Xenopus tropicalis: one gene and its partner. The protein of the gene in region 2 purifies or fractionates together with the protein of the main gene of each other region. This does not show direct contact. Links are inferred from orthologs where the notes say so. Each region holds a gene or a part of one and is shown on either strand. Other genes may lie near its edges. The genes, in order: lamtor4 and slc38a9.

The links.
Region 1: the proteins of slc38a9 (region 2) and lamtor4 purify together in Homo sapiens (affinity purification with mass spectrometry; 4 studies listed by BioGRID and IntAct, with this or other methods). This does not show direct contact. The link is inferred for Xenopus tropicalis from reciprocal best matches to the Homo sapiens genes SLC38A9 and LAMTOR4.

Annotation. Positions count from the first base shown.
Region 1 is NC_030679.2:143,861,781-143,873,157, reverse strand, and holds lamtor4 (ragulator complex protein LAMTOR4), read right to left. Parts: upstream 6,919-11,377; 5' UTR 6,881-6,918; coding exon 6,878-6,880; intron 6,846-6,877; exon of another isoform or gene 6,637-6,845; intron 3,883-6,636; coding exon 3,799-3,882; intron 3,643-3,798; coding exon 3,528-3,642; intron 3,267-3,527; coding exon 3,169-3,266; 3' UTR 2,987-3,168; downstream 1-2,986. Other genes in the region: map11 (uncharacterized protein C7orf43 homolog), read left to right, coding at 278-431; uncharacterized protein LOC733758, read right to left, coding at 9,989-10,200. UniProt on the Homo sapiens protein: As part of the Ragulator complex it is involved in amino acid sensing and activation of mTORC1, a signaling complex promoting cell growth in response to growth factors, energy levels, and amino acids.
Region 2 is NC_030677.2:191,428,028-191,439,447, reverse strand, and holds the start of slc38a9 (sodium-coupled neutral amino acid transporter 9), read right to left. Parts: upstream 5,991-11,420; 5' UTR 5,939-5,990; intron 835-5,938; 5' UTR 801-834; coding exon 709-800; intron 1-708.

The DNA of each region.
Region 1 (11,377 bases), on a different chromosome or scaffold from region 2:
TTTTATCTTTTATGGTTTTTCAATTATTTGCCGCCTTCTTCTATTGTTACTTTTTATTATCTTATCTTTATTTGCACTCACTCTCTAAAACCACTCCCTGGTTACTAAGGTAAATTGGACCCTAGCAACCAGATAGCTGCTGAAATTCCAAACTGGAGAGCCGTTGAATAAAAAGTAAAACAATACAACCAATAATAAAAAATGAAGACCAATTGCAAATTGTGTTAGAATAGCTCTGTCTACATCATACTAACAGTTTGTGTCTTTGCCCCCATAGGACTGGCAGTGTAATGGAGCGCCGTGCAATAACGCCCCCGGTAGGTTCCCCCCTGGGCAGACCCCTCTATCTGCCCCCAGAGAGAGCAGCGCTGTCATTGGATAAAATTGCAAAACGCCAATGCAAGGTACTAGTCGTGCACCCCGTTCAGTGACACCCAGCATTCACCGGGGCGGAGACGAGCCAATGGGAGACCGGACTGGAACAGAGAATTTGGGGTACGGACTGGGGCACCTAGGACTGAGGAGGAGGATGGGCCAGCAGTCGGGATTCTTATATACTACTGATGTATACACCGGGGGAATAAGAGAAAGGGAGGCGGGGCTGCTGTTAGCCCAACCCTTGGCCACTCCCCCTTTCTCTTACAAGCTATTTTTTTCTTTCCTTTCCATAATAATGTTTACATTTTTTGACATTTCATTGGGTACGTAACCAAAAGAGGTTCAAGTATTTTAATTTATAAGAAGAGATGGAAAGGCCGATGCTCAGGATCACTCGGTGGGAGCTGCCATACATAGGATAATACCCGCCCACCATACATAGGATAATGCCCCTGAGTCATTGGCCACTGTCCTGCTGTAATAATAGACATAGGGGGGTAAGTAAAGGTATTTATGTCCGTGACCAAAGGATACACCCCCCTATTACAATGACTACTGAATAATCCTTATTATGGAAAGTGGGGGGCCACGTCGCTCCTGTCGCACCGGGTCGAGTTACTGATATTATATATATATATATATTGGGCTGTAACTGGAATATCCTCGCCTGAAACTTGAATTACTGCTGCACGTATTGTACCATTTGCCAATATCGGGGGGCAGAGGAGCCCCCCACCCCCCCGCACTTGACCACTCCACCTTTCCTGCCGATACTTGAGCGCTTTCTGTGACCCACAAACCGCAGACACTGGGAGTTTTATAAGTTTTTATATGTTGTTTCTTATGTGTTGCCCTGTGTTACGGCCGCGCACTTTATGTTTTAATAAATGTCTCTAATTTATTTTGAACAAAGGCAAAAAAAAAATACAGAGGTTTAAAGGAAACGAGCGTCAGTGAAGTCTCTCTTTCTGCCCCACTGTGTATACTATATCCATGGCTGCAGGGCCGCCATCAGAAATCACGGGGCCCCTCACAACAAAGTTTTCTGGGCCCCCTCCTCCCACACCCTGCCCCCTCCCATCAGTAGGAAGGACACACAGGCTTTGGTAGCCAGGGATTACATTTTGCATTGGTGCTAGGGCAGCGACCCCCTAAAACATTGCTAGCCAGTCCAGGGCCCCCTAAAACATTGATGGTCCTCCCCCAGTGTCCTCATACTATAGCCCACTCCCCGCTGCTTCCTGCTCCCCCACATGTCCTCCAGCATCCTTCCCAACATCCTCCAGCGTCCTCCCCCCAGCATCCTTTAGCTCCCCCCAGGATCCTCCCTAACATCCTCCAGCATCCATCCCAGCATCCTCCCTAATATCCTCCAGCATCCTCCCTCCAGCTCCCCCCCCGCATCCCCCCTCAGTATCCTCCAGGTTCCCACCTCACCTTAGCATCCTCCAGCGTCCTTCCACCAGCATCCTCCCGCTCCCCCCCCCAGCATCCATCCCAACATCCTCCAGCTCCCCCCAGGATCCCTCTTAACATCCTCCAGCATCCTCCCTCCAGCTCCCCCCTCATTATCCTCCAGGTTCCCAACTTAGCATCCTCCAGCTCCCCCCTCCCCCAGCGACCTACAGTTTCCTGTGGCTCCCCCCAGCATCCTCCCCAACATCCTCCAGCGTCCTCCCCCAAACATCCTCCAGCTCCCCCAGCATTCTCCTTAACATGCTAGGATGGATGCTGGGGGGAAGGACGCTGGAGGTCCTCCCCCCAGCATCCTCCCTAACATCCTCCAGCGTCCTCCCTCCACAGCTCCCCCCCCCCGCAGTATCCTTCAGGTTCCCCCCTTAGCATCCTCCCCAACATCCTCCAGGTCCCCCCACCCCCCAGCAACCTACAGCTTCCTGTGGCTCCCCCCAGCGACCTACAGCTTCCTGTAGCTCCCCCCAGCGACCTCCTGCTTCCTCCATCCTTCAGCTGCATCCCACACTTTTATCCGGTTGCGCCCCGTGCTTACTGACGTCACACGCAACCAATCAGGGCCCGTAATTCTTTAAAGGGGGCCCGAGCTAGTAAAACTGTATCACGACCGGGCCCCCTTTAAAGAACGAGGATCGCCCGTGCCTGGGAAAACTCCCCCCTGTGGGCGGCCCTGCATGGCTGCTCCTCGTCATTATACAGTGGGTTGGATGTGGGAGGAGTCCTATTTACACCACATCGGCAAAAAACTGGCAGGGGCTTATTTCCTGTATTAAATCCATAGGTGCCATGTTGGTAGGAGAGAGCATCCCCCATTCATTGTTCCACCATCTTGGGTGGGGCAGCCTGGGATTCCCACATCCAACAAGGTGAATTTAAAGGGATACGCCCTTTGGAACATACTATCATCCCCACGTTTTCTTTACAAAAACCATTTCTACTCTAAAAAGAAACAAGGGGGTGTGGTGTCAGGTATTCCCCATAGGGATAGGTTATGGGGGACCAGGGGGGAGCTGAAGCTGAAGTAGACGGGACAGAGCACAGCAGCCATTAAAGCACTGCACATATAAAAGGGCATTTTGGGTTTGACTTGTCCTTTAATGCGACCCTAAGGAATGAGAGAGGCAGGCCCGACCCAGGCAGTACCAACAATATATATATTTATTAGGGGATGGGAAGCCCCCCGTGTAACCCGCAGCAGAGAGCTGGAACATTCGATCCTGCGGAAAAGGTTGCTAGGGCAACAGTGGGGGGGTCATTAAATAGGCCGTGTAGTACAGTCACTTCATATTGGGCACGAGAATGGAGGGTGAGGCTTTGCTAGACACTGATTGGCTCCCGCACCACGTTCTGCCGCTTCACCACGTAGATCTTCTGTCCGGAAATGGTGACGAGAAACGTGTGCTCCCCAAATACGACTGCGAGGGGAAAAGGGGGGCAAAGGAATGAGTTGGACTTCAAAGCTCCATCAGGACTCCCCCAGCCCCTCGATTAGGGCAAATTCTCCCATACTGCTCTGTTTACCCCAGCCCATACCCGCCCCTTATAGAAACACCAGTTTTGGTTGGTTGGGAGGGATGGGGCGGAGTCAGGAAATCCCTGAGCAGACATTATAGTGTACCCCAGTACATGCCCCGCTGTGTGCCCATCTCTCCTATCGCTCCCCCCCCCGTTCTTACTACTCATGCGTTTGAATGGCTGCTGGTCCCCGAGATCCCGGAAGGAGCACGCTACGGCCACCATCTCCCTGATCACTCCCGCCAGGCGTTCGTCATTCTCCAAATCACCGGCGCTCTGTAAGGACACAAAAAGGTCCCCCATTTCAGTGGTTGTCATGGTAACATGGCACGAGGAGAGAAAATGATAAATCAGATAACTCCCAGAATGCCCTGACAGTGTGTGGCGGTGGGAGTAGTAGTTTAACAACATCAAAGGGTTATATTGCCTTACCGCCAGCACCCCTCCATCCTCGCTCATTACCAGATACCCCATCTGGTCTGGGATCCGCTCCAGGCCCTGCGTCATGGTGGAGGTCTGAGGAGGAACAGGAGAAAGACTGGTTACTGTACCCCAATGTATGCAAGTTACCCCCTAAACCCCACTAACAGCTTCTTTAAACATTAATAAAGGCACCAAGTTTGCCCTGCTGTCACTTCGCGATTTAGTAATGAATTCAGATTCACATTACATGGCGGCATAGAAATCAGTGCAGTCTGCATCAGACTTGATAGTGCTGTAGCACCAGCTTAATAGTGTGATGATTCCCCACGACCCCTAAGCAGCAGCCCAGAGCCCACGGAGCACGTGCAGTGCCACTGGCACACACAAGGTGCCTAACCAGATCCAAGATGGGGAGCTGCTGGGGGCAACTTTGAAGGCCTGGATCATTACTGTTATTAGGGCCGCCATCAGGGGGGCACAGTACCTGGCCAATCTTCACTTTTAAAGGGCGGCCCGGCCGTGCTACAGTTTTCTGACTGGCTCGTGCCCCATTTAATTTCTTACGGGCCCTGTCATCCGATTGGTCGCGCCCCATGCGTACATGTGTGACATCAGTACCTAACCTTATAAAAGGGCCTGTCTCGAGGAGCCCGAAGTCGTCGCTGAAGAAGAAGCTGCAGAAGAAGACGCTGACTTCGGAGGGCACTTTCTATGGGGCAATTGGGGGCACTGTTTATGGGGGCAAAGTCTATGGGGGCTATTGGAGGCACTGTCTATGGGGGCTATTGGAGGCACTGTCTATGGGGGCAATTGGGGGCACTGTCTATGGGGCAACTGGGGGCACTGTCTATGGGGCAACTGGGGCCCTGGTCAGCATAGCGTTACGGGGCACTGTCAATGGGATGCCCTGGCCAGCAAAGCGTTAGGGGGCACTGTGTATGGGGGGCCCTGGCCAGCATAGCGTTAGGGGCACTGTGTATTGGGGAAATTGGGGGCACTATGTATGGGGGGCCCTGGCCAGCACAGCCTTAGGGGGCACTGTGTATGGGGGGCCCTGGCCAGCATAGCCTTAGGGGGCACTGTGTATGGGGGGCCCTGGCCAGCATAGCATTAGGGGGCACTGTGTATGGGGGGCCCTGGCCAGCATAGCATTAGGGGCACTGTGTATGGGGGGCCCTGGCCAGCATAGCATTAGGGGGCACTGTGTATGGGGGGCCCTGGCCAGCATAGCCTTAGGGGCACTGGTGTATGGGGGGCCCTGGCCAGCATAGCATTAGGGGGCACTGTGTATGGGGGGCCCTGGCCAGCACAGCCTTATGGGGCACTGTATGTGAGGCCCTGGCCAGCATAGCATTAGGGGGCACTGTGTATGGGGCCCTGGCCAGCATAGCATTAGGGGGCACTGTGTATGGGGGCCCTGGCCAGCATAGCATTAGGGGCACTGTGTATGGGGGGCCCTGGCCAGCATAGCATTAGGGGGCACTGTGTATGGGGGGCCCTGGCCAGCATAGCATTAGGGGGCACTGTGTATGGGGGGTCCTGGCCAGCATAGCATTAGGGGGCACTGTGTATGGGGGCCCTGGCCAGCATAGCATTAGGGGGCACTGTGAATGAGGGGGGGGAAGCTGGGGAAGATGCTAGGGTGGAGCTGGAGGATGCTGGGAGGGAGCTGAAGGATGCTAGGGGGGGGAGTTGGAGGATGCTGGGAGGGAGCTGAAGGATGCTAGGGGGGGAGTTGGAGGATGCTGGGAGGGAGCTGAAGGATGCTAGGGGGGGGGGAGTTGGAGGATGCTGGGAGGGAGCTGAAGGATGCTAGGGGGGGGAGTTGGAGGATGCTGGGAGGGAGCTGAAGGATGCTAGGGGGGGAGTTGGAGGATGCTGGGAGGGAGCTGAAGGATGCTAGGGGGGAGTTGGAGGATGCTGGGAGGGAGCTGAAGGATGCTAGGGGGGAAGTTGGAGGATGCTGGGGGGGAGCTGGAGGATGCTAGGGGGGGGGGAGTTGGAGGATGGTTGGGGGGGAGCTGGAGGATGGTTGGGGGGGAGCTGGAGGATGGTTGGGGGGAGTTGGAGGATGCTAGGGGGGAGTTGGAGGATGCTAGGGGGGGAGTTGGAGGATGCTAGGGGGGGAGTTGGAGGATGCTAGGGGGGGAGTTGGAGGATGCTGGGGGGGAGCTGGAGGATGCTGGGGGGAGCTGGAGGATGCTAGGGGGGGGAGTTGGAGGATGCTAGGGGGGGAGCTGGAGGATGCTGGGGGGGAGCTGGAGGATGGTTGGGGGGAGCTGGAGGATGCTAGGGGGGGAGCTGGAGGATGCTAGGGGGGAGCTGGAGGATGCTAGGCGGGGAGCTGGAGGATGCTAGGGGGGGAGTTGGAGGATGCTGGGGGGAGCTGGAGGATGCTAGGGGGGGAGTTGGAGGATGCTGGGGGGAGCTGGAGGATGCTGGGGGGAGCTGGAGGATGCTAGGGGGGAGCTGGAGGATGCTAGGGGGGGAGTTGGAGGATGCTGGGGGGGAGCTGGAGGATGGTTGGGGAAACTGGAGGAAGTAGGGGAGCAGGAATCAGCGGGGTGGGTCATAGTATGAGGACACTGGGGGGGGGCAGCAATGTTTTAGGGGGCCCTGGGCTGGCTACCAATGTATGTGTGTCCTTTGTACTGATGGGAGTGGTCACTGGCGGAGGGGCCATTGGGAGGAGGGGGGCCCAGAAAAGTTTATTGTGAGGGGCCCCGTGATTTCTGATGGCGGCCCTACACACACACACACACAATATTGCCTTATAGGGGCGAAGATTTCCTGATTCAACTAACACACCGCAGCCAATCAAGGTTAGGAGTTTAGAAATAATAATACCAAGCTTCTGATTGGCTGCTATTGGGTTCGAGTCCCGGACAAGCCGTGCGGGGGGGGCGTATCCCGAAGCGCTGAAGTCCCGGAGGCTGATGTAGTGCAGCAACCTACTGATCCCAAGCCCCTGCAGTCTGACACTGGCGCCATACATACAGCCCCACATTGCAGAACATTAGTGCCGATTGCAGCCGCCCCCATAAGCCTCACACACCCCGCTCTTCCCTTCATACAATCAACCACTCACCATCTCTGCAACTTCCCTCCGGCAGCACCGCTAGTACGCTCCTTCTTCCGGCATCGCCTTTCCACCCTTGCTACTGGTTCTAGCAGCCATCAATCACACGTCTAACCACAGCGATTCGCTAGCTGGTTTTGTCATGTAAAACTATAGCACGCCTCTTTGTTTGGCAGGGGTGCTTACTCACATGATCTTATGCTTTTTTCCGATTGGTTCAACTGCATGTCAATCTAAAATTCAGGGGCGCTATTGTTAGTTTGATTGGCTTTACTTTTCTTCTGCCGGCGAATAGGACGTCAGTGATACCGCTTAGCAACGATAAGGCGGGACCTTCACATGCTCAAAACCAGCGCCAAAGCGCCTTGCCACATTAGTTGTGAAATGTCTTTGTAAGAGTGTTGTAATAACTGGAAGCGGCCAGTGACGTTCTAAGCATTTTTAGTCTAGAAATATTATGTGTTGTAGTGTTTATAGAGAGTTTGGTGAAAGATTTTCTCCTCAGACACAATAATGTGAGAAATGTGTGAGGGGGAGATATATATATATATATATATATAAACACACACACTGTATATAGATTACATGTGGCTGTGCCACACTGCTGCACATAAGTATATATGAAATGATCATTCTGACCAATTATTTCTAATTCTTTCTCATTTCTCATTACCCTTCCTCGTCCCCCTCTCAGCCAGTCCGTGTGTCTGTACATGAAAGAGCTCCTCCCCACCTCCCCATTTTGTTATGGCTGTTGCCCAGTGGGGTAACATGACAGAGCCAAGCAGTGTTAGGCCGCTGCTGCCTGGGAGTAATTATAGAGAGCCAGGAACACCCCCAAACAATATCACCTCTATGCACGTCAGGAAGAGGAGCCACTCCTTTAAGGCTTGGCTGTGCTATAAAATCCGGTGCAGCCAACACTGGGCATTCCTATTGCAGATCATAAAGGAATCGCCCATCTGCTAGGAACCCAAAGCGCCTAATCATAAAACTTGTTACTCATGAGTTGCACCCATGTGTCAGTAGGGAGTAGGAAACGTTTATACGGCCCAGAAGCTTCCTATATGGGAACAGCACCATCCAGGATAGTCCATGGCATCTGTGTACAGCAAACATACATTTTGATTTAGCCCAGTGAGTGGCAACAAGCTGTATACCGGAACCCATAGATCATAGTCAAATAGTCTACTGCTCTGATTGGCTACAGGTTGATCTAGCCCTGTAAACATTAAATGCACCGATTGGCTACAGCCTTATTTGGCTTGCTGAATGTCCTCATACTCTGATTGGCTATAGGTGGGTCTAGTCATGTGAATGTCCTTATACTCTGATTGGCTATAGGTGGGTCTAGCCATGCGAATGTCTTCATACTCTGATTGGCTATAGGTGGGTCTAGCCATGTAAATGTTCTCATACTCTGATTGGCTATAGGTGGGTCTAGCCATGTGAATGTCCTCATACTCTGATTGGCTATAGGTGGGTCTAGCCATGTGAATGTCCTCATACTCTGATTGGCTATAGGTGGGTCTAGCCATGCGAATGTCTTCATACTCTGATTGGCTATAGGTGGGTCTAGCCATGTAAATGTTCTCATACTCTGATTGGCTATAGGTGGGTCTAGCCATGAGAATGTCTTCATACTCTCATTGGCTATAGGTGGGTCTAGCCATGTGAATGTTCTCATACTCTGATTGGCTATAGGTGGGTCTAGCCATGTGAATGTCCTCATACTCTGATTGGCTATAGGTGGGTCTAGCCATGTGAATGTCCTCATACTCTGATTGGCTATAGGTTGGTCTAGTCATGTGAATGTCCTTATACTCTGATTGGCTATAGGTTGGTCTAGTCATGTGAATGTCTTCATACTCTGATTGGCTATAGGTGGGTCTAGCCATGCGAATGTCCTCATACTCTGATTGGCTATAGGTGGGTCTAGCCATGCGAATGTCTTCATACTCTGACTGGCTATAGGTGGGTCTAGCCATGTGAATGTCCTGATACTCTGATTGGCTATAGGTTGGTCTAGCCATGTGAATTGTCCTCATACTCTGATTGGCTATAGGTTGGTCTAGCCATGTGAATGTCCTCATACTCTGATTGGCTATAGGTGGGTCTATCCATTTGAATGTCCTTATACTCTGATTGGCTATAGTTGGGTCTAGCCATTTGAACGTCCTTATACTCTTATTGGCTATAGGTGGGTCTAGCCATGTGAATGTCCTCATACTCTAGAAACACCACTGCCAGTCTTTACCTCTGACTATTAGTGATATCGATAGGAATCTTAGCCTCGGCCTGCCTGGAGTTCTCTGATAGGCCTGAGAGGCCTCTAGTGTTCTGGCCAATCCCAGCTTGCGCCTCTGTGCCTTGGTACCCATGAATATATGCAGGGAAGTATTTAGGTGGCCGCTGGATTTCCACTGGTAGGTCTGGCAGCGGCTGGGGCAGGTTTGTTGATTATATAGGCACCCAAAGCTGCTGCCCTGGGCACAGTCCCTTGGGTGCCTATATAAATATGACCCTGAATATATGTATGTGTTTCCTTTTAGTTCCCACAGCAGAGACCATTTCATTTGGCCATTTTTTGTTCCACAATAGAGGGACCCTATCTAAAAGTGCTGCCTTTCAGTAAGTATAAATAGTATTTAGTATAATAAAAGAAGCATACCCGATGGAATTCAGATTTATTATTTCATTGCCAGCAAATACGAATCCGCCTGGAGCGTCTAACAGGGTAGATAAGGGCCCTCCCTGAGCCGTGGCTGCACTAAAGTAAGTGCAACAGTGCACTAAAGTAATTAAGTGGAACAGATAAGGTGAAAGTCTCCGTAACATTTACAGATAAGAAACAAGGTTAAGGCCAACCTGATACTAACAATAAGTGTAATATACAGTGCGATGTTGAATAAATCTGGATTCGCCATAGATTCCATTCATTTTACAGTTTGAGCGCTCCCCCCATTTAACACTTTTGTTGCAAGAGTAACAGTCCTGCATTTCTGGCTGCTGAGTATTTCAGATATAACATGACTAAAACGATATAAAGGATAAAGATATGATGATGCTGAGTTACCCCAGAGGGGTGTAAAGGCCACATCCAATCAGCACCTGATTTAGTTATGCATCTGCATGGGTTCTGGCAGCAACATAGGCCCCCACTAGAGCGAGGCAGAACAGGGCGCACATATAAAGGATAACCACAACGCCGGCAAAGATGTACACTGCTGTGATGACCCAGAAGGCGTACAGGTACAGGACGCGGTTACATCGTTTGGGGGATTCTGGAGAGTCCCAAGGTTCCTGATACAGAGAATATACCCACACATTGCCTGAGGAAGAGAGTAGTCTGATTAATTGCATATTAACCCATTCACTCAACACTACTTCCTTCTCATAGGTAGCATCACTTCCTGGCTCTGTGACTCCCTGCACTCCTTTCCTGCTGGTAGCATCACTTCCTGGCTCTGTGACTCCCTGCGCTCCCTTCCTGCCGGTAGCATCACTTCCTGGCTCTGTGACTCCCTGCGCTCCCTTCCTGCCGGTAGCATCACTTCCTGGCTCTGTGACTCCCTGCGCTCCCTTCCTGCTGCTAGCATCACTTCCTGGCTCTGTGACTCCCTGCACTCCTTTCCTGCCGGTAGCATCACTTCCTGGCTCTGTGACTCCCTGCGCTCCCTTCCTGCCGGTAGCATCACTTCCTGGCTCTGTGACTCCCTGTGCTCCCTTCCTGCCGGTAGCATCACTTCCTGGCTCTGTGACTCCCTGCGCTCCCTTCCTGCTGCTAGCATCACTTCCTGGCTCAGTGACTCCCTGCACTCCTTTCCTGCCGGTAGCATCACTTCCTGGCTCTGTGACTCCCTGTGCTCCCTTCCTGCCGGTAGCATCACTTCCTGGCTCTGTGACTCCCTGCGCTCCCTTCCTGCTGCTAGCATCACTTCCTGGCTCTGTGACTCCCTGCGCTCCCTTCCTGCTGCTAGCATCACTTCCTGGCTCTGTGACTCCCTGCACTCCTTTCCTGCCGGTAGCATCACTTCCTGGCTCTGTGACTCCCTGTGCTCCCTTCCTGCCGGTAGCATCACTTCCTGGCTCTGTGACTCCCTGCGCTCCCTTCCTGCTGCTAGCATCACTTCCTGGCTCTGTGACTCCCTGCACTCCTTTCCTGCCGGTAGCATCACTTCCTGGCTCTGTGACTCCCTGTGCTCCCTTCCTGCCGGTAGCATCACTTCCTGGCTCTGTGACTCCCTGCGCTCCCTTCCTGCCGGTAGCATCACTTCCTGGCTCTGTGACTCCCTGCGCTCCCTTCCTGCCGGTAGCATCACTTCCTGGCTCTGTGACTCCCTGCGCTCCCTTCCTGCTGCTAAACACTTATAGCATCACTTCCTGGCTCTGTGACTCCCTGCGCTCCCTTCCTGCCGGTAGCATCACTTCCTGGCTCTGTGACTCCCTGCGCTCCCTTCCTGCCGGTAGCATCACTTCCTGGCTCTGTGACTCCCTGCGCTCCCTTCC
Region 2 (11,420 bases):
AAATTCATTATTCCGAAATAAACATTATTTTAAAGAACTGCAAACATACTCGTGTTCCATATGTATGTATGAAACACCATTTCAAATGCCCCGATCTATATCATTACATTACACAAGCAATCTATTATTATTAATTATGTTAAGGGATTATATTAGAGATCTCCAACCACTAACCTACAGGCTGGGCAGAAAACCAAAAAATAATAACACGTAGGAACACAAATGTGGAAATGGCAACATATTATACAGACTGCTTAGGACCAGGGGTTTTCCAAATAAGGGATATTTCCATTATTTGGGTCTCCATACTCAAAGTCTGTTAAAAAAGATTAAATAAACCCAATAGGATTGTTTTGCCTCAATAAGGATTAATTATATTTTAGTTGGGATCAAGTACAGGTACTGTTTTATTATTACAGAGAAAAGGGAATCATTTAACCATTAAATAAACCCAATAGGGCTGTTCTGCCCCCAATAAGGGGTAATTATATCTTAGTTGGGATAAATTACATGCTACTGTTCTACTATTACTGAAAAAAGGGAATATTTTTTAAAATTCCAAATTATATGCTTAAATGGAGTCTATGGGAGATGGCCTTTCCATAATTTGGAGCTCTCTGGGTAACGCGTTTCAGGATAATGGATCCCATACCTATGCAACACTTCAGCCTTTAGATATAATTTGCAATTAGCACATAAATACATTACCTTCTGCTTCTAGGATCTGTTGCAGCAAAATGATTCTGGGCACATTCTTCAAACAATGAAGGATTAATTAAAGGTGTCTGGTCACTGTCCATTGTTGTTGTTACAGGCTCAGTTCGATAGACAGATCTATAAAACAAGACAACAAAGGCTTAAAAAAAAAAAAAAAAATTATATATATATATATATATATATATATATACACATGAATAGTAAGGCTGATATCCCAAGTTCAGTTGCCCACGACAGATCTCTGCTATCACGGGTGACTAACCCTTCCGAAATGCTCCAGAGGAAAGCCCTTTGCATCGCTTCCGTATTCCGAAGTCGCGCAAAGTTGCCTCCTGGCATTTGTATGGAATTACACCAACATTATTATGGAAAAATGCTGTGGAGGATATTAGCGTTTTAACACACATATCAGCTAGGTGTATCTAAAATGCCCGTGATTTGTTCTGCTGCCCTATTTATGTTTCCCACAAACCACCTCCTCATTACATTAATATGAACATCAGCATGCATGCTGCTGCACATAATAACACAAAATGCAAACAAACTGTTTGAAGAAAGGCATATTTGAGGACTGTATGATTATATTGATAATGAGCCACCAAAATGCCTGAAGTGAATGCAGGGACCTGAACAAAGGGTATAGCGGGAATTCTGTAATATTACCATGTAATAATGTCATATAATGAAAGAAATGATCGCGTAAATTAAGCAATCATCCTTAATATGCCAGCAATCCAGGCAAGATCTTATGTGTGGTAAAAACACATTGTGACATATTTTGGCAGATATCAGCATGTAATGTGTGTGTGTTTTACAACAAGCATGTTACAGTGATTATTTGGTGCTTTTATGCCTTGATTGGACTTCATAATAATATGGGATAAAAACACAGCGTGTAACATAGTGTGAAGGGTTTATATAAATAAGTTGCTGTGTAGCCATGGAGTAAGTTATTCAAGTTAAAACTGGGCTATAAGGCACACACTTACATTACAGATAAAGGAAAAGGAAAGGATAATGGCATTACAATTACTTTAAAATGCATGAATACCCTTTAAAGGGGTGGTTCACCTTTAAGGCAACTTTTTGTATGTTACAGAATTACCAATTCTAAGCAACTTTTCAATTTGTCTTCATTATTTATTTTGTATAGTTTCTGAATCATTTGCCTTCTTTCCAGCTTCTAAAGGGGGTAGCTGACCCCAGCAGCCAAAAAACTATTGCTTTGCAAGCTTACAATTTTATTGTTGTTGTTACTTTTTATTACTTATTTTTCTATTTAGGCCCTCCTCTATTCATATTCCTGTCTCTCTTTCAAACTACTGCCTGCTTGCTAATTTTGAACCCTGGCAACCAATGAACTACTGAAATTCCAAAAAGGAGAGCTGCTGGAAAAAAGTCAAATAATTAAAAAAAATAAAAAAATGAAGATCAACTGCAAATCATACTCTACATCATACTAGAAGGTGAACAACTTTACTGGCAGTGCTATACCTGCCAATGTAGCAGTTTACCAGGGGCAATGGACTTTTATGTTTATGGTGCAGGGATGAGAGTTATTCTGACTAAAAGTACCATTTATTCCCATTGTAGGGTTTAACATTAAGATCATCACTTGTTTTTCGTTGCTGCAATCTATTTTACCTTTACTATATGGCTAAGGCCACAACAGGCTGTAACTCCACCTGCGTATAAACACAAGAGGAGAAAAAGACAACTCCTATTTGCAGTGTCAGCCTGTACACAAACATGACAGATGTCGGTGTGAAAATGCATAGTTTTGCATTACTACTCAAAAATCTGCTCCATGTGTGTGCACACAAGCTTAGACCACTGCTTGTCAGCACACTTACACCACAGAGTAGATTGTTTTATTCTCCTCCTGTATTTATATGCAGGCAGAGCAGCAGGAACAGTTTGGCATTAATCTGCGTATATCCTACTCAGTAAAGGTGATGTCCCATGTTAGCCATTCAAAAAGTTATAGGGAAAGTTATTAGTCTTCCCCCAGCATGGGTGACAAAATGCAAAAAAAAAAAAATCCCTTTGCATTAGTGTCAGAGTGAATCACTTGTGGTAAACCATCTGAATCATGTAAGCCCTGAAAACTACCTTCTCCTGCATTTTCCATCGCTTATGTGATTCAAATGTTTTACCACTGGCCATTTACATTCACACAGATAAATCAGTATAAGTGTAAAATTAGAGCTCACCACAGTAAAACTCTCCCACTCTATTCATTCCTATGGGATTTTAAGAGGTGCATTTGGCAGTGGTTGAAAGTTAGAGTTCACCATTTGATAAATATGCCTCTAAAAATCCCATAAGAATAAACAGATAATGGGGAACTTTTACTGTGGTGAACTCTCACACGTAATAAAACTGTCCCTAATGCAAATGTATTTACTTCTGCTAAAGTAGATTACATTCCGGTGACAAAACTTACCAGGTGCTAATGCCCTTAGACTAAACGTAGGTGTCATGTTTACAACACTTTTGTTATATATAAAAAGTTTTACCCTATAATTACCCTGTAATTTTATGTTTCACTGGAAGGTTTGTCTTTTGCGAGCTGGCTGCTAGAAGGGATCCAGCTGCTGTAAGGATACAGGTTTCTAGTTTGCAATGGCTCTGTATCTTTAGGCTTGTATCAAACAGGACCTATCTGACAGCCTCTGCCCTCTCCCATATCTGCAATTACAATACTGCTTTGCCCTGGATGCAGCCACATTTCAGATTTCTGTGCATACTCAAAATCCATGAGTATGCACCCAGGCTGATACAGTGCCTGTGAATGCAGGCACAGTAGAGGGCAGAGGCCAAAAATTGGTTTTGGGCTTATATTGCTCTTTATATTTTCAATCAAATACCAAATAAAGGTACTTTTTACTTTTTTTTTACAGGCCAAAAATCAGCCAGTCTGATGACCTCAGCAATAAGCCCTGTGTGACACTAGCCTTAGAGTAGAGATTCTCATAACTGGGTTAAATGGGATGGCATTGGCTTAAATCCTACAATAAAAAACTTCGGAAAGCCACCAGCTCCCAAAATCTCAGGGACACTCACAAGTCCACCAAATGCACTAAATTCATCTTGTAAACCTTGTAATGTAGGGCTTACTGAATTACTGAAAGACCTATCATTTAGACTAATGCCAGATAGAGCTGATTCTTGGACAGCAGATAAACGCAGGGTGAAAATCAGCCGCTACGCTGGTGCCAGAGCCAGGTGCTGGCACGAGTAAATATTAGTGCTGAAATGCATACTTGTGCGTTTGGTGCCAAAGTCCACTCCGTGTGCCTGCACCCAGCCCCATGCAATGATTCAAGGTGCTGGCACAGGGAAAGGCTGATGCCAATGAAGAGATGAATTCTTGGTCCATGTTTATCTGCATCTGAGAATCAACCGCATCTGCCATTAGCATTTCTACCTTAAGTTAATGTTAGACCAGGCGTATGTCGGTATTTTCGGCAAGCGTTTTTCAGCTTGCCGAAAATATACTCCATACGCCTGGTCTGACATTAGCCTAAGTATGCAATATAATGCTTTTTTCATTATAAACAGTAATAAAAACTATGCTATGCACTAATATACAGCAGCTATCTGGTTGCTAGGGTCTAAATTACCTTAGCAACCAAGGAATACAAGTTATAAAAAGTAGAAATAGAAAGTAGATAGAAAATAGAAAGTAAAATTGTAGTCTCATGGAGCAAGTTTTCAGGCTGCTGGGGGTTAGTGACCCCTGTTTGAAGGCTACAAAGAGTTAGAAGAAGAAGGCAAATAATTTAAAAACTATAAAAAATAAACAAAGAAGGCCAATTGAAAATTAGCTTAGAATTGGTCTTTATATAATATACTAAAAGTTAACTTAAAGGTGAACCACCCCTTTGGTGACCTTGCCAAACAAGTGGATCTTCTTCCGACATGCTCACACAAGGTGGGCATCAACAAGCCGATACAGTCCCCAATCCAATGGGAAAATCAAACCTGCCCAATTGGGATCTGGCTGGTCAGGTACGCCTGTTGAGAATGCCCATACACCGGCAGAAGGAATCCATCTGAAGGATCTGAATCGGAAGCTGAAATCTGCCCATTTTTGGCCACCTTAAGCACCCTTTGCAGGCCTAACTTTTGGCCAATGGCCTGCTTAAAGGAGAAGGAAAAGCTAAGTCACTTGGGGGTGCCAAAATGTTAGGCACCCCCAAGTGACTTGAATCGCTTACCTTTTACCCCGGGCTGGTGCCCCTGTATGGAGAGACCAGCACCAGCCCGGGGTACCTGCATCGCTTCCTCCTTCGCCGCGCGCGCATGCGCAGTAGAGTGAATAGTGGAACTTTAACAGAGAAGTCGGCTTTTCACTCTACTGCGCATGCGCCGGACTCACAGTCAAGGCTTAACGAAGGCAGAAGGATATGGCACATCGCCCCAGGTGCCCCGGGCTGGTGCGGTTTTCTCCTAATAGGGGCACCAGCCCGGGGTACGAGGTAAGCGATTAAAGTCACTTGGGAGTGCTTAACATTTTAGCACCCCCAAAGTGACTTAGCCTTTCCTTCCCCTTTAAGGCGGTCATACAAGAAGATTTCATCCTTCTTTAGACAAACGTTCGGATGTCGATCGTATGGTTCAATGCAATGATCTAAAACTAACATTCAGAAATTGTAGGATAAAGTCGCATAAAATTATTGGCAGACAACAATTGTACGAAAGCGACGTCTCAGAAATACACTGCAGGTTACCCAAGGATTTCCACAGATACACAATAAATACATAGATTTTCATCATTATACGACCCAAATTTTCTAACCTGTGCGATCGACTAATGGACCTGCCCCCAGCCCCCTCCTTGCCATTGCTATGGGTCACACAGTCAGGGAATTGCTGCTGTAGGAATTCGGGCCTCATTCCACAAGTCTAACCCCCCCCCCCCCTTCCAAAAAAGTTGTAAGTCACTGAGCCATAAAAGCAAGGCTAAGGCAGGACACTTTAACTCACAACTGGTTGCACAGAAACGCTGCTGTACGTAAATAGCGCTACTCTTGCTGCAGGGATATATCTATATATCTACGAACCCCACCAGACAAAATAGCCATTCCCATACAAAGTTAACGCTTAATTAATTAACCAGACATTCGTATTCTTTAGGCCCGCCTGGTGCCCGGCAGTGCTGGGTTTATTCGGCGTAAAGCCAAGAGCATAAGTGAATCTGTAACAAATGATGTACCTTCCACTACACCAAGCGACCGGCTTCCATGCTCCTGCAACTTCCCTGAAAGCTTCAAAACAAGACGCAGCTGAGTTAGGTTAGGCAGTAACAGGCGACAAGCATGGTGGGAATGTAGTCCAGCGCTCCTTATTTCCTGCAAACAACCCACAGGAGCGAACTACATTACCCACAGTGCATCGCTGCACTACGTCCGCGCTTGTTTTGGTGAAGAAAGAAGTGCCTTACTGCTGAGTGAGACGTTCTTTTAACCAAACAAGCAAGAAAAATTGCAGATGAAAGAGCTTGTCACTGACTGCAAGGACTTACCGGATGTCAGGCGCAAAAAAAGACAAAAAACCGCAAAGAAAAAATTACAGGGAAAAGCTATTTTGCAGTTGATTCACTGTATAGTTGCGCAACCGTAAGGCTGGTTTGTCAGAATGATTTTTATGATGTTTAATTTTTTAAATTGCTTATATAAAAAAAAAATTATATTTCATTATTTGCTAGTTGATTAAAAATATAAACAGCAACTAAATAAAACTATTTTTTTGTGGTAGCAGCTTGGAATGGATTGGATTGCTGTAGGCTTTATCTTGTGCAATAGCTTAATACCATGACTGTGTGTGCCATACTCTGCCTTCCCTACCCGGCCTGTTTGTGCCATACTCTGCCTTCCCTACCCTGCCTGTGTGTGCCATACTCTGCCTGCCCTATGCTGCCTGTGTGTGCCATACTCTGCCTTCCCTACCCGGCCTGTGTGTACCATACTCTGCCTGCCCTATGCTGCCTGTGTGTGCCATACTCTGCCTTCCCTACCCGGCCTGTGTGTACCATACTCTGCCTGCCCTATGCTGCCTGTGTGTGCCATACTCTGCCTGCCCTATGCTGCATGTGTGTGTCATACTCTGCCTGCCCTATGCTGCCTGTGTGTGCCATACTCTGCCTTCCCTATGCTGCCTGTGTGTGCCATACTCTGCCTTCCCTACCCGGCCTGTGTGTGCCATACTCTGCCTTCCCTGTGCTTCCTGTGTGTTCCCCTCCCTGCCCTATGCTGCCTGTGTGTGCCATACTCTGCCTTCCCTGTGCTGCCTGTGTGTTTCCCCTCCCTGCCCTATGCTGCCTGTGTGTGCCATACTCTGCCTGCCCTATGCTGCCTAGGCCAGGCAGTACATACAATCAGGGTCGGACTGGGCTGCCGGGATACCGGGAAAAATCCTGGTGGGCCCCAGCTCTAGTGGGCCCTGGCGGCCCAGACCTGGCCCTTGCCTGCGCTCCCCCCAGCGAGGGGGGTCAGGGGGGCCCCTGGGGGGCAATTAGGGGACGCGACCGGCGGGGGCCCCTGGGTCAGGAGCCCTGGTGGGCCCTTTACCCCCCAGTCCGACCCTGCATACAATGTCTGAGGTGTGAACAGGTAAACAATGTAAGTGATTACAGCCTGAGGCTGAGGTGTAAGCTTTATCAGAAAGGTTTATGTAAATACAGCCATTAGCACTCACAGAATAGCTGCAGGGTTTCTTGCATAAGAACTCACTTCCCCCTCCCTTAGGAATGTGTGATCTGAGCTTCCAGTGGCTATAACTGCAGCAGGAAGCTACCAAGACCAAGCTAAAATGGCAGCTGCTATTGGAGGGAGCTTCTAGGGCTCTTTACTCAGGTATAGTAATGCTTTCTGCAGAATAAATATAGCGTTCTAGGTGGCACTAATGTGGCAAATCTATTGGCAGTAAAATGCCAAAAGGACTTTCCTTCTCCTTTAAAGAGCAGCAGGAATTGTTGTAACAGTTTTGCAGTGTATTTCATTGTTTTTTATAATATCACTATACTATTTACATTGATATTCTGATTAAGGTTAGGCGCACAGTTTAAAGTCATTGAAACGAGGAAAAGAACAGCACCCATACAAATGGTGGAAGCTATAATACACCCTGTAACATGCACACTACAATAATCAATAAAAAATGCACATCTGTATTAAAGAAAAGTGAGCTACAAATTATATATAAGATGTCAAAAGATAAAAACATTTAAAAACCACAATTATCCCTTGGTCAAAGCCTTCAGATGCGATACTTGTGGAGGATGGTGCTTCTGAGCTGTTGTTACACTACATATGTTATAATATGATTGGTGATTTATCTATGATGATACTGCATAACAACTTGCATCAGGGTTTCCATTATGGAGGCTATGGGTATATGCAAGATTATGGGGGAGCATTTTGGTTTTTAAAGATTTTTAACTTTTGACATCCTGATTTAATAAAGAAGTATTTGATTTGCTATTGATTATTTGAGTGCGCATGTTACAGAGTCTCTTATAGCTCTCACCAGCTGTATGGGGGCTGCTACCCATACCCTCTGCAAGTAGTACTACTATTTACATTTTAAAAATCATCATATAGGGCTACATTTGTGTGAAATTACAGCTCCCTACAGAAAAACTCACCCACTTTCTATTCACTCCTATGGGATTTTTAGAAGCATATTTATCAAAGGGTTGAAGTTCACCATTTTATAACTATGCTTCTAAAAATCCCATAGGAGTAAATAGAGCTCATTTAAAAAAACTCACCCGCTTTCTAATTTCACACTTAGGGGGACATTCGTTAAAGCACAAATTTTGGATTGTTAAAAGCATGATTGGAAAAATTTCGTAGTAACCATGATAATTTCTGATGTGTGTAAATTGCGTGAAAATTCATGTCGTGGTCGTACGAAAATATCGTGGTTGCGATCCGAAAGTTACAAAATTTTCGTATTCAAACGATTGTAAACGGCGCAAAAACCTTTCTGACTTTGAAACTTCAATGCATGATTTTGGAAGTCTCCCATAGGGCTCAATGGCACTCTGCAGCTCCAACCCGGCCCAAGGAAAGTCTCCCATAGGGCTCAATGGCACTCTGCAGCTCCAACCCGGCCCAAGGAAAGTCTCCCATAGGGCTCAATGGCACCCTGCAGCTCCAACCTGGCCCAAGGAAAGTCTCCCATAGGGCTCAATGGCACTCTGCAGCTCCAACCTGGCCCAAGGAAAGTCTCCCATAGGGCTCAATGGCACTCTGCTGCTCCAACCCGGCCCAAGGAAAGTCTCCCATAGGGCTCAATGGCACTCTGCTGCTCCAACCCGGCCCAAGGAAAGTCTCCCATAGAGCTCAATGGCACTCTGCAGCTCCAACCTGGCCCAAGGAAAGTCTCCCATAGGGCTCTATGGCACTCTGCAGCTCCAACCCAGCCCAAGGAAAGTCTCCCATAGGGCTCTATGGCACTCTGCAGCTCCAACCCCGCCCAAGGAAAGTCTCCCATAGGGCTCAATGGCACTCTGCAGCTCCAACCCGGCCCAAGGAAAGTCTCCCATAGGGCTCAATGGCACTCTGCAGCTCCAACCCGGCCCAAGGAAAGTCTCCCATAGGGCTCAATGGCACTCTGCAGCTCCAACCCGGCCCAAGGAAAGTCTCCCATAGGGCTCAATGGCACTCTGCAGCTCCAACCCGGCCCAAGGAAAGTCTCCCATAGGGCTCAATGGCACTCTGCAGCTCCAACCCGGCCCAAGGAAAGTCTCCCATAGGGCTCAATGGCACCCTGCAGCTCCAACCTGGCCCAAGGAAAGTCTCCCATAGGGCTCAATGGCACTCTGCAGCTCCAACCCGGCCCAAGGAAAGTGTCCCATAGAGCTCAATGGCACTCTGCAGCTCCAACCTGGCCCAAGGAAAGTCTCCCATAGGGCTCAATGGCACTCTGCAGCTCCAACCTGGCCCAAGGAAAGTCTCCCATAGGGCTCTATGGCACTCTGCAGCTCCAACCCAGCCCAAGGAAAGTCTCCCATAGGGCTCTATGGCACTCTGCAGCTCCAACCCCGCCCAAGGAAAGTCTCCCATAGGGCTCAATGGCACTCTGCAGCTCCAACCTGGCCCAAGGAAAGTCTCCCATAGGACTCAATGGCACTCTGCAGCTCCAACCCGGCCCAAGGAAAGTCTCCCATAGGGCTCTATGGCACTCTGCAGCTCCAACCCCACCCAAGGAAAGTCTCCCATAGGGCTCATTGGCACTCTACAGCTCCAACCTGGCCCAAGGAAAGTCTCCCATAGGGCTCAATGGCACTCTGCAGCTCCAACCTGGCCCAAGGAAAGTCTCCCATAGGGCTCAATGGCACTCTGCAGCTCCAACCTGGCCCAAGGAAAGTCTCCCATAGGGCTCAATGGCACTCTGCAGCTCCAACCTGGCCCAAGGAAAGTCTCCCATAGGACTCAATGGCACTCTGCAGCTCCAACCCGGCCCAAGGAAAGTCTCCCATAGGGCTCATTGGCACTCTGCAGCTCCAACCTGGCCAAAAGATAGTCACGATACCAAAGCTTGAATGAATTCCGAAATTTTCGTTGTCGTTGCGCAAAGTTCGAAAAGTACGACTTTTTCGTGTAATTACGAACTTATCACAAAAAAGTCGTACTATTTTAACGGAGTACCAAAAGTTAGAAAAAAATACAAATTGTTCGCAATCGTGATCATCGTGCTTCAATGAATGTGCCCCTTAGAGTAAGGAACAGATATGAGGCATCTGGGCAGCAAGTGTGTTGAAAAATAATTTGACTGCAAATATCCCAGTAGCTTAAAGTGCCATCTTCAGTAATGGTGTGCATAAATTACAAAAACCTGTGGATGGTAGAAGGCCAAACCATAGTACAGGTATAGGATGCCATATCTGAAAACCCATTATTGGGAAAGCTCTGTATTACAGAAGGGCCATCTCTCCATAACTCTATTTTCTTTTTCTCTGTAATAATAAAACATTATTTTGTATTTAATGGTCACTAAGCTGCATGAATCCATACTTTCCATAGTGAGTTGACAAGTTCTATTTTCTTGACTGTACTTTACTTTTCTCTTTTAGTGGTTCTCTTAATACAGCATCATAATATTCCAAGATTTCCAAAATACCAATAATATATCTTATTGGTAGTGGTAGTTCACCTTAATGTAATATTTTATGTTGTAGAATGGACAATTCTTAGTAATTTTTAATTGGTCTCATTTTTTCCCCTTTTTTATAGTCCATCTCATGATTTTTAAAAACTAAAAGATTTCTGGCATCCCACAAAAACTCTTGAATACAATTTAGTATTAGCCATAAAACTCTTGCTACCTTTTTCTAAATGTAATAGTCCATACATAATCAATTCAACCATCAACATCTGAACCCCAGTTAAACCATCAATTATTTTCCCCATCCTCTCCATACTCTTTTTGCAAAACCACACTCAAAAAATACATGCCAAACATTTTCTATCTGTTTGGATCCACCCCTTGGGCACACCTCACTCGCCACCAGACACCTTTTCCCATGAAAAGACCTGATCGGGATACATCCATGTACTACCATCCACACCAGATCTGTCTGTTTACAAGATTTTTATTATTAACATTTTTCCATACACTCCTGCATTGCTGTTCACTCAAACCCCCAATAGTTTCCATTTCTTCCTTCTTTTGAAGCTCACACACAACTT